3 linked regions of the Sus scrofa genome follow. Each later gene encodes a partner of the first gene's protein in a complex. Links are inferred from orthologs where the notes say so. Each region holds a gene or a part of one and is shown in the gene's direction. Other genes may lie near its edges. The genes, in order: EZH2, AEBP2 and EED.

Region 1 (4,090 bases):
CTAGGAACCATGCCTGAGGTTGCAGTTAGATCCCTGGCCTTGTTGAGCTGTGGAGTAGGTCGCAGATACGGCTTGGAGCCTGAGTTGCTGTGGCTGTGGTGTAGGCCGGATTCCACCCCTGGCCTGGGAAACTCCATACGCCTCGGATGAGGCCCTAAAAAGAAAAAAAAGAAAATTCAGAATAACCTTACCTTCACTGTCAGATAAATTAAAAGGGGAAACTGCATCCTAAACAGAATATTTCTAATTCTTATGGGTTGATACAGGCTCACCCGCAGATCATTTTTTTTTTTAACACTTGAAAGATGCTGCAATCATCCCAATTTTTTCCAGAGGCGTTAGCTCGAGGCAAGTGAACCCCACTCACCCCTGATAAATGATTAACGTTGACACGTGTTTGGAACTACAAACGCTGGAAGGTGCCGAACAAGGCGCTCAGAATGAGGAAACTGAAATAACAGTAGGGCTGCTGTTTCCCAGGTTTCTAAGGAGATGGGCACTGCGGCCTCGACCAACCAAAGTCCAGCGGGCCAGGGGATCTGAGTCGGGCCAAGCCACTGAGGGGCTTAGCAGAAAAAGTAGCTGGCAGAGCGCTCTGCTCGCACCGGAGGCGGCGCGCCAGTCCGACCAGACCGCGAAAGGCTCGGGGCTCCTCGCCCGAAACGAACCAGATTGGAGCCCGGACCGCAGAGCGTAACTGGCCGGCAATCGGGGTACCTCGCGCGCGTCCGCCGGCCGGCCTGCGCTTCGGCTCCGCGCGCGGGGAAAAGAGCGCGGCAGTTGAAACCGTTACCACCCCCGAGTTTTGAACTGGTTCAAACTTGGCTATCGGCCCCGCCCCGCCCCTCCGGCCCGGGAACTCTGAGGCTGCCGGCGGTTCCCGCCAAGCGCCGCGAGCGCGCCGTCCCGCCCCCTGGTCGGTTCCCGCCATCCTGCCCTGGCCGCCTCCCGCCCGCGGCCCGGGATTCGGGCTGCAGAGGCCCCATCGTCCCAGCCAGCCGACCCACCGCCTTCCTGAGAGGCGCCGTGCGTTCGGCGAAAGAACAAAGAGACGGCGCAGCGCTTCCACTCGGCGGCCGCGTCCCTCAGCGCCCGCCCGCTCGCGCGCACGCGCCGCCGGCCCGGCCCGGCTGAGTCCCGCGGGCTCCTCTGCGTGGGGCTGGCTCGCCGCCACGGAGCCCGGCGGGCCTTGTGATTGGACGGGAGCCCGCCTCGCGGCCCGCCAATCGGGGCGGCGCTTAGTTGGACAGGGGGGGCCAAATAAAAGCGATGGCGATTGGGCTGCCGGGTTTGGCGCTTGGTCCGGGAGCGTCCGACACCCACTGGGACGCAGAAGGCGGTGGAAGCCCGGCGGCGGTGGTGGCGCGCGGGAGCGGCGCGCGGGAGCGGAGCGGGCTGGGGCGCGGGGCTCAGGTAGCGTGCCGCTGTCGGGCCGGCCGGCCAGCGGGGCTCCGAAGCTCGGTGAGGGGCGGCGGCGGCGCCGGGATATCCCCGCCACCCCTCCGGGTATCGCCCAGAGCGGGCTTTCCCGGGGCGCCGCTTTGGCTGGAGGGGTGAGAGGAGACCCCTCGGAAGGGGCCGTGGCTTTGGGCTGGCCCGCGCGACCGCGGGGGCGGGCAGCGCCGCACCTGGCGACCTAAGGCGGGACCCCGGGCGGGCGCCCTGGGGGGCGAGCCGAGGGGTCTTCTCGCGCGCCCGCCCTTCGGGAGGCGCGGCGGCTGGGCTGGGGGCGCTCCGGTGCTCGGGGCGGGCCGGCCGCCCGAGCCCCTGTCTCCTTTGTGTGGAGCGTCGCGGCGGGAGCGCCCGGGTGGGACGGGACGCACACAAGTTGGTGGGACCTCGGCACCGAGTGCACACTCAGACAAAGGACGGACTGTGTCTCGGGGGAGCTCGGCGCGGGGAAGGGGCAGTGACACCCGGGCCTGACAGCGGGCGGGAGAGGGGCGTGGGGAGCGCGGGCCGCGGCGCAGGGGGCGGGCTGGGCCCCACGCCCCCTCCCCGCGAGCGCGCAGGCTCGGCCGGGGCCGAGGGGGCCGGGGCGGCGCTGGGAACCGAACTCGGAGCGGCTGCGGGTCTGACATTTCCCCGGAAAGCACCCCCGAACCCCTCGTCTCCACCCGCTCTGACGAGGCGGTCCCGGCCGCCTTTACCCCCTCGGCTGGCTTTCTGTTAAGTTTGAGGAAGGGTCGAGCCGTTCTCCCCCCGCTCGGTTTTGTTCGTTTCGGAGGGCTTTTCGTCGAGTTTCCGCGTCATTGTCCACCCCCCCAAAAAAAGTCGGTGCCATCAGGTCCCTTTTTGAAAATTGGAGGAATCGAGAAGCATGATATTTTGAAATGAAAACTTGGTGAACTCACGCCTGCTGAGTTCCCGCTTTCTAAAGAATCATATTTTTTTTAAAAAATTACATGCTCTTTCGGCCAACTTATGTGATACATCTGAGACTGGCGACAGGTGCTAACGAAATCAACTGTCATTTAGTAAGAGATTATTCTCCAAATCCCCAGGGATTGAATGAGGATGCGATGGTAGAAAGAATTGATCAAGCAAAATGTTTATGACAAATGTGTGTTTAGGTGGTCTGGTTAGCAATTCGTCATTAATTGGTCTTGTTTTCCGTGAACAATAGCTTTGTTGAGTCAGAAAAGACTGACTACAGAAATGTTTGTTGCCTAAGAAATTGAACGTGTGCTGTCCACAGTTAAGCTAAACTTCCTTTGTTTGTCACACAGGATCTGTAAAATTTAAGTCATTTGGAAACAAAGATATGTCTTTGGTATTTAAAAATATTTTACTTCAAGGTTTACTTTCTGGGTTTTAAAGGTCATTTATCGGATTAATTTTGTGGCTTTTTAATGTCACATAAAACACCATTTAAGAAAATCTTTAAAAAACACTAATGCTGATACAGTTGAATGTAGGCTATACTTCTAAGGGATTTTAAGAGCGTGTGGGATCCTAACCATTAGACCACCAGGGAGCTAGGGGGTTTGGAGTTTATTTTCCACTACTCTTCATTCATCACCGTTAGCAACTATTTTATGTTTGGAAATAAAATGTAGAACAAGTGTGTAATCCTAACAAGTTTATTGATAATTTTATTTCAAGAAAATGAAAGTATTTATGACCTATTTTAATTTCCTTTTCATATTACCTAAAGTTAGGAGTAGGTAGGGTTCTAGTCCTGGATGTAAAGAATCCTTTCTCTCTTTGTGGTGGTGTATTTGGGAATTTAATGCTTAAGTTCTTGAAAACACTTAGGAAAATGGCATCTTAAATTCTAGTCTTTGTGGCAGGGGAATATCTTCAAAGAAGAGGAATTTAGGAACATAGCACCGATTTGCATTGTTCTATCTGATGATCTAATGTTCACCCTACCATCTTACGGTTTCATAAATATGGAGACAAAGAAATGCAGTGTAAAAGTCTTTATTACATATTTTGCAGTGTTAGACACCGCTGAACAGACATTCCAGGTGCTGTCCTAAGTATTGTTTACTGTATTAGTTGCTAGTAATTATCTATTAAAAAGTCCTCCTGATAATCTGGCCTCTTGTTATAAGATGAGCTAGTTAGGGAGATTTTGGTAGATATTTGGATCTTTTAGGATAAGAAATTGCAGTTTTTCCTTACTTGTTTGTGTACACTATATTTGGCAATTACTGTCTTTGTAGTTGCCACAAGATTTATTTTTAAGTTTTTTTGGGGGAATTGGTTTTTAATTTTTTATTTGATTTGAAAATGTATTTAAGTAGCAGTGATTAAAAAAACCACACTTGTTGATTTAGTGAAGTTAGGCACACAAAAAAGCTGTAATACTTTGATATCAGCTTTGCCTTGCACACATACATATAGGTGATTGTCTTTGTGTTGGCCACTTAAAATTTTTAGGCAGATTTCCCCAGGTTACACTGAGGCTTTCTAGGATATCTTCCATCCTTTGAGCTGGCATGCTTAAGGAGAACGAATTAGTTTCCATCTTGGCCTAAAAAGCGGTAATTAAGAAAGTTGATTTTTTAAAAAATCAACAGCAATAAAAAAATCCTCTGATCTCATGCATTCTGGGGTTAATTAGAAATGACCAGTGGATTTG
Region 2 (3,725 bases), on another chromosome or scaffold:
GTAGGGATGTGGAACTTCCTCGTATAACCTCTTATGTTGTTATATAGTATTGTGAATATGCCAAATGCCACTGAATTGTGCACTTAGATGTTAAACGTCTCATGATCAGAATCTGTAGCTGAACATTCTTGATGTAGGCTGAGGACCACACTATTGATAGGGTTGTTGTAAGAATTAAATGAATTATAAGCACTGGTTAGGACTTATTGCTTCTTTTCAAGGTTCCCATAGCACTCTGTGCCTTACCCCTGACTATAGGGCTTTGAAGTTGTTCCTTTCCATGCATATCTTGCTGATCATATGTAAGCTCTTTCAGGGCCAGAACTGTATCTTATTCATCCTTACACTTTTAGCATTTAGTGTAATATTGGACATAAAATAGTTAAGTCTATGAACTAAGATCTTGAGTTATTCCTCTCCCTCTCACTTAATGTGCACCTTAGAATGGGTAAAGATTTTTGTTAGTAATGCTGAATACAGTCCATGACATGTCTTTTGAATAGTGAAATAAGGAGAATAATACTAATAGCACTGTATAAGGATCTTGCTGTGAAATGTTTTCAGGCAGTATTGATTTTATCAGAATCTCTAAGCTAATATATTTAGAAACATTTATGAGTTGGGATAAGCTGTCTAGTAATACTCTGAAAGTATGAGCATGTCCTTGAAGGAAGGAAGATGAGCTCTCTTTCACATGGGCAGACTTAGACTTTATGAATAAAGCCATGGTCTCTACTAACAGGGTTGTATTGTGTTTGTAGAAGTTTGAAATAGTAGAGGTACCTAGGTTGAAATAAAGAGCCTGGAAGCATATGGATTTTTTTTGTGTGGTATAATCAAGAAAAATATGATTAAGTTAAACCACCTGGGAATAATGTGATTGATTTATTTGGTGGCAGGCAGATATGACAGATATGCATGCCTGGAGTTAGGTTGTCAAGCCAGGAACTAAGCAACTTGGATAAGTTACTAATTGAAAAGCCACTAGCAATCCAGTGCTGGATTTTGCTGTTTGGGGATCATTTTGGAAAATAGTGTTGGTTTTAATTAGTAACAGTCATTTGTTGGAAGATCTGCAAATATTATTTTCCTAAGATCTAACTAGACACAGACTTGTATTGTGACTCATTTGAGCATTGTGATTTTAGTGATATCCAAACATTCTGCACCCGTTGTTGAAATAGCAGATCTGACAGTTGACTTTCATAGTTAAGTTAAACCTTCTGTTTTCTCAATCTTGGCAGTACAGAAGGCTGAAGAGACTGTATTTAATGGAACTTATAGAGGGTTCCATAAGATTAAACCTGAACATAAGTTTTCTGAGACTAGACCCAGTAGTTTAAAAATCAGTATTATTGTATTTCTTTCCTATCTATTACAATAGCCAACAGTAGGGAGCTTGCTGAAGGTTTTAAAGTAGCATATGTCCTAAGATAAAAATGACTTTAAAAATCCAGGAATCCAGGTAATTGTTCGATTACATAATTTTTTGATCTAAAAACAGCTTATTGCTCCTCTTATATTTTTCTGGAAAGAAGAGCCCACTATTTTGTCTCGCATATAGTGGGAAAAGCAGTAAATTGGGGAGTCATGAAAATTTCTAGTCTGCCACTGCTTAATGTGAGTTATTTTGTCCAACTTACAAAATGAAAAGGTTGCTCCAGTCCCTCAGATTCTTTCTGGAATTAGTTCTGTAGTGTTACTGATAATACACTATTTATTTATTTCTGATAATACAAAATATTTACTCATTTGTATTTATACTTGTGTCCTATACAGAATCCCTGACATTCTTTTTTATTTTTATTTAGTGTGTTGTTGGTGGCTGCAATGCCAGCTTTGCTTCTCAGGGAGGGCTAGCTCGCCATGTACCCACACACTTCAGTCAGCAGAACTCCTCAAAAGTTTCTAGCCAGCCAAAGGCCAAAGAAGAATCTCCTTCTAAAGCTGGAATGAACAAAAGGAGGAAATTAAAGAACAAAAGACGACGCTCATTACGTAAGTGTTTCACTGAAAATCATTATGTATTAGATGGCTGTTGTTTATATCTTGGGCTTTGGCTCATTCAGTTTTTACCATTCTTGAACTCTGCTTATCTATTTTTATTTTATTTTATTTTTTTTATTTTAGGGCTGCACCCTCGGCTTGTGGAAGGTCCTAGGCTGGGTTGATGGCCATAGCAACGCTAGATCTGAACCGCGTTTGTGACCTACACCACAGCTCATGGCAATGCTGGACCCTTAACCCACTGAGCAAGGCTAGGGATCGAATTCTCATCCTTATGGTTACTGGTTGGGTTCTTTACCGCTGAGCCACAACGGGAACTCCTGCTTATCTATTTTTGTTACCAGTAATGAACAGTAGGATCTTGGTCCATCAGTGTGAGTATTCAGTGATGTATGTCTTAACTGTAGTAGCTAAGGGAATGTAAGTATATGTGACCTTAGAATACAAGCTCTGTATAGAATTAGATTTTTGAGGGCTACTTCGATTCTTTTCTAAATTAAGACAGTTTGAATTAAGAGACTGTTGTTGTGTCCATCAAGATTTTATTTAGTAAAAGAAAAAATAATGGGCATGTATGTATGTATGTATGTATTTTTGGCCATAGTCATGCAGTGGCTTGATGGGGGATCTCAGTTCCCAGACCAGTAATTGAACTGCAGCTGTGGAAGTACTGAATCCTAACCACTAGACCACCAGGGAACTCCCCCAAATTTTTATAAAATTTGAACATGTTAAAAATTCAAGTAAAAGTGAAGTAACCTATCTGCTCCAAAGTGGTATATGTGAATAGCGAGACTGTGTATAGTTTGTGTCTCAGTGCTTAACAGTCTGATGTGACTCATGTGTACAGTGGTTATGTGCTTAATTACCAGACTGTGAGCTGTATCCTCAGCATTTAGGAGAGAACATTATTAGATTATTGTATACGTTTGAGCCACAGAAAAATAAGAGTCTCTATTTTTATGGTTTTCAAAGGGTTTTGATTGTATAGCTTATTAACTTAAGAAATGATTGAGTATCCAGCCCTAACTTGTGTATTTATATAGTGTATACACCTAGCCCTGCTAATGAATATTATAATTACCAAGAAGAAATATTGAAAAACCTCAATATGAAAACAGCAAAAACAGAACTTGATTTTATTTTCTTCCCTACCTTAATGGATCATGACCCACGCCACTTTGGAGACTGTTCTAGTTCAGTATCCTTTTTTCCCCCTTTTTTGTCTTTTTTAGGGCCACATCCATGGCATATGGAAGTTCTAGGCTAGGGGTCACATCAGAGCTACAGCTCCTGGCCTACACCACAGCCACAGCAGCACTGGATCTGAGCCACATCTGTGACCTACACTGCAGCTTACGTCAATGCTGGATCCTTAACACACTGACCCATGAGGATCGAACGTGCATCCTAATGGATACTAGTTGGGTTTGTTTCCACTGAGCCACAACTAAACTCCCTAGTTAAGTATTCTTTTTTTTTTTTTTTTTTTTTGTCTTTATAGGGCCATACCCGGGGCATATGGAGGTTCCCAGGATAGCATTCAATTCAGAGCTGTAGCTCCTGGCCTGTACCACAGCTGCAGCAATGCCATATCCAAGCCGAATTTGTGACCTACACCACAGATCATGATTCTTAACCTGAGCAAGGCCAGGGATTGAATCTGTGTCCTCATGGATTCTTAAGATTTGTTTCTGCTGAGCCACTTTGGGAACTCC
Region 3 (2,810 bases), about 89 Mb from region 1:
GGCACAGGATTGATCCCTGGCCTAGGAATTTCCACATGCCGCAGGCCTGGGGGGAAAAAATCCTTGTCATATAGTTCTAACATCTGTGTCATCTTAGTGGTAGTATCTCTTGATTATCTTTTCTCATTAAAGTTGAGATTTTTATATTTCATGGTATAACAAAGTGAATTTTGATTGAGATAGATATTTTGTGTACTGTTGCAAAACTCTGGATCTTATTTAGAGCTCTTATAGCAGGCTGCCTCTGATAAATTTTCACCTGGGGAAGGGGCGTGCTTCTTTATGGTTGGCAGGTGGCATGAGTAAGTCCAGTTTCCCCACTTGATTGACTTGGTGATGCTATCTCATGACTACTGAGGTGAGAGTTCAGGCTTTTCACTGGGCCTCAGGTGACACCACCCTCACTGGGAGGGACTGGGAGGCCTCATTACTACCCCATGGGGTCCCCACTTATAACTGAGAGTGATGGGTGGTTGTAAATAAACATCCTGACTCTTTGCTAGGCCTCCTCTGATACCACTCCAGCTGGAGAGAAGGAGGAGTCACCTCATAGTGAGGGGTAGGGAGGAGTCAGGGTGTTAGGTGCTTGAAGTATTTACTTAGTTACCACCTGAGAAGGGATCCCCACTGGGACTTTGCTAGGTCACAAGTGGGTGGATCCAAAGTGTTTCCTGTGCTATTAAGTGTTTATCTGAAAATTTACTCTTATGCTAAGTTGCCATTTTCCGGATCCTCTGCAGAAAGCAGGCCTTTGTTGGGGCTTCTTCTGGTCTTCACTTGTTAGCATTGTTGAGTTGCCACCTTCTATAGGTAGGTAGCATCCACTCTGGGATACATAAAGGATGCAGAAGAAAATGAAGGAATTCAGCGTCCTTCTTGTCCCAGGGTCCCTAAACCAGTCTGCCTCCTCTCCACCCTTCAGATTTTTAAGCTGTGCTTGGTAAGATAAATAGGGGAAAATACTCAATTTGTTTTAGAAGCAGAAGTAAAAAGGCAGTAACTAATATTTCTGCTCTTAGAACTTAATTAGATTTCAGAAAGGAAAGGATTTCTGCCTTTCTGATGGGAAGTTAAACTGGATATTGGTGGTCTCAAATCTGGCTCTGCCTCAGAACTGTTGGGAGGATGTTATAAAAATAGTGTCCTAGGCTTCATCCTCAGAGGTTCTAAGTCTGGCACAAGGACCTGAGAATTTGTAATTTAAAGAAAAAGAACTCCAGATGATTTGCAAGTATAGCCATCCATTAATTAGTGTGGGTAAATTTTTTTTACCTCCCTATGTTTTAGTTCTCCATGGGGGGACTCCACTCATTCAGAATCCTTTACCAGTATCGTCAGTAAGAAGCACTTGAAGAACCATTTTACAATTCTGCTGCCTTGGCCTTCCCTCCCAAAGATTCTGACTTAATAGGGTTGAGGCCAACGTGTGTTTTTAAGGAAAGGTCTACAGGCTATTAATCAAATTGTGCACTTGAGTTAAGAGTCATCAGACTAGGTGATAGCTAGGGTACTTAGAGTAAAGAACTTGCATAGCAGATCTATAGACCTGGGATGTTATACAATCTAAAAAAGGCAGAGAAGAAAAAAAGCACATTCAGGTCAGGTTTACTCCCTGACCTCCCAGTGGCCCTGCTGAAAACTGTTTAAATGCCAGAGAACCCCACAGAGCTACCACATATGGTTGTGTAGGCTGTGTCCTGTAAAATTCCAAGAGGCACTCTTCATGTACACCAGAATTTCTCCATCCTACCACTATTGAGGTTGGGTCAGAGAATTATTTTTTTGTGGGAGGAACTGTTCTGTGCATTTTGAGGTGTTCAGCATCTCTGGCCTCTGTTGACTAGAAGCCAGAGACATTGCCAAATATTCCTTAATCGGCAAACCACTAAATCTATACAGTGATATAAATAGTGCCCTCTGTTTTGCATTTTTCCCCATTGTATTTTTTACCACTTGATGCTTAAGTGGAATACATGTAAAGGTTCATTGTTGCAGGATAGTGAAGGTGTAACTCAGCTATTTCAATCCCATCCCTTTATCAGTTTCCTGACATTGAACCACTGCTTTTATTGCCTTCTATATAATTCCATCTCTAAGGCCCTTTCTAGGCATTCATTAGCTTTCCTATGTTTGTTGAGCATCTACCATGTAGTGGAGACACCAGGAATGAAGGATCAATAGTTAACCAGATAAGAGGAACCACAGAAGGGGGGAAGGGAGTTAGAAGTGGAATTGGGAAAGATGAAAAGAGTGAAATAAGCAGGGGCCATGTTGAAGAGCTGTGTATTCTAATACAATGTTTATAATTTTACCTTTACTATAAAACACTTCAAGTCTCTGGATGCTAAAGTATCCAGAACTCAGTCTGGTGTGGTTTGGGAAAGAAATTGTGACTTCAAAAATAAATATTCCAAACAGTGTAATGCTTTTGTTATTATTAAAATCTGTTGGTAATTAGACCTCTTGTCCAACACTGACTTTGTGAATATACATGATCGTATATCACTGTACTCAGTAGATGGATAACCAGGTTCTAAAAGCTGTCAATTCTAAAATGATGTAGAGAAAAAGCTTTGTTTTTTATGTTTAAAATTCAGTTCTCCAAGTAACAATTCTTTTTTTCCCATTTCTCTCTTTTTTAAAGTCTTGTGAAAACGCCATTGTGTGCTGGAAACCTGGCAAAATGGAAGATGATATAGATAAAATTAAACCCAGTGAGTCTAATGTGACTATTCTTGGGCGATTTGATTACAGCCAGTGTGACATTTGGTACATGAGGTTTTCTATGGATTTCTGGCAAAAGGTAGCAA

Evidence for each region.
Region 2: the proteins of EZH2 (region 1) and AEBP2 are in contact, whole or in part, in a cryo-EM structure (PDB 8VMI), measured with the Homo sapiens proteins. The link is inferred for Sus scrofa from reciprocal best matches to the Homo sapiens genes EZH2 and AEBP2. Residues at the interface, in NP_001190176.1 of Homo sapiens: Ser76, Leu77, Arg78, Gly79, Thr80, Thr100, Asn102, Ala103, Val104, Ala105, Ser619, Asp620, Val621, Ala622, Ile739, Glu742, Met743, Glu744, Ile745, Pro746; in NP_001107648.1 of Homo sapiens: Lys382, Leu383, Lys384, Asn385, Arg387, Arg388, Ser390, Leu391, Pro392, His395, Asp399, Ala400, Gln401, Asp404, Ala405, Arg407, His408, Ile411, Cys412, Leu415.
Region 3: the proteins of EZH2 (region 1) and EED are in contact, whole or in part, in a cryo-EM structure (PDB 8VMI), measured with the Homo sapiens proteins. The link is inferred for Sus scrofa from reciprocal best matches to the Homo sapiens genes EZH2 and EED. Residues at the interface, in NP_001190176.1 of Homo sapiens: Arg34, Glu37, Val38, Lys39, Met41, Phe42, Ser43, Asn45, Arg46, Ile49, Arg52, Thr53, Ile55, Leu56, Asn57, Glu59, Trp60, Lys61, Arg63, Arg64, Ile65, Gln66, Pro67, Val68, His69, Ile70, Leu71, Glu82, Cys83, Ser84; in NP_003788.2 of Homo sapiens: Val85, Asn86, Ser87, Leu88, Lys89, Glu90, Asp91, Trp103, His104, Ser105, Lys106, Glu107, Asp109, Pro110, Val112, Arg120, Thr122, Leu123, Tyr124, Glu125, Gln129, Gly130, Glu131, Ile132, Arg133, Leu134, Leu135, Gln136, Ser137, Tyr138.

What each region holds. Positions count from the first base shown.
Region 1 is NC_010451.4:109,383,726-109,387,815, forward strand, and holds the start of EZH2 (histone-lysine N-methyltransferase EZH2), read left to right. Parts: upstream 1-1,290; 5' UTR 1,291-1,413; intron 1,414-1,437; exon of another isoform or gene 1,438-1,461; intron 1,462-4,090. UniProt on the Homo sapiens protein: Polycomb group (PcG) protein. Catalytic subunit of the PRC2/EED-EZH2 complex, which methylates 'Lys-9' (H3K9me) and 'Lys-27' (H3K27me) of histone H3, leading to transcriptional repression of the affected target gene.
Region 2 is NC_010447.5:53,635,905-53,639,629, reverse strand, and holds part of AEBP2 (zinc finger protein AEBP2), read left to right. Parts: intron 1-1,811; coding exon 1,812-1,998; intron 1,999-3,725. UniProt on the Homo sapiens protein: Acts as an accessory subunit for the core Polycomb repressive complex 2 (PRC2), which mediates histone H3K27 (H3K27me3) trimethylation on chromatin leading to transcriptional repression of the affected target gene.
Region 3 is NC_010451.4:20,153,876-20,156,685, forward strand, and holds part of EED (polycomb protein EED), read left to right. Parts: intron 1-2,644; coding exon 2,645-2,803; intron 2,804-2,810. UniProt on the Homo sapiens protein: Polycomb group (PcG) protein. Component of the PRC2/EED-EZH2 complex, which methylates 'Lys-9' and 'Lys-27' of histone H3, leading to transcriptional repression of the affected target gene.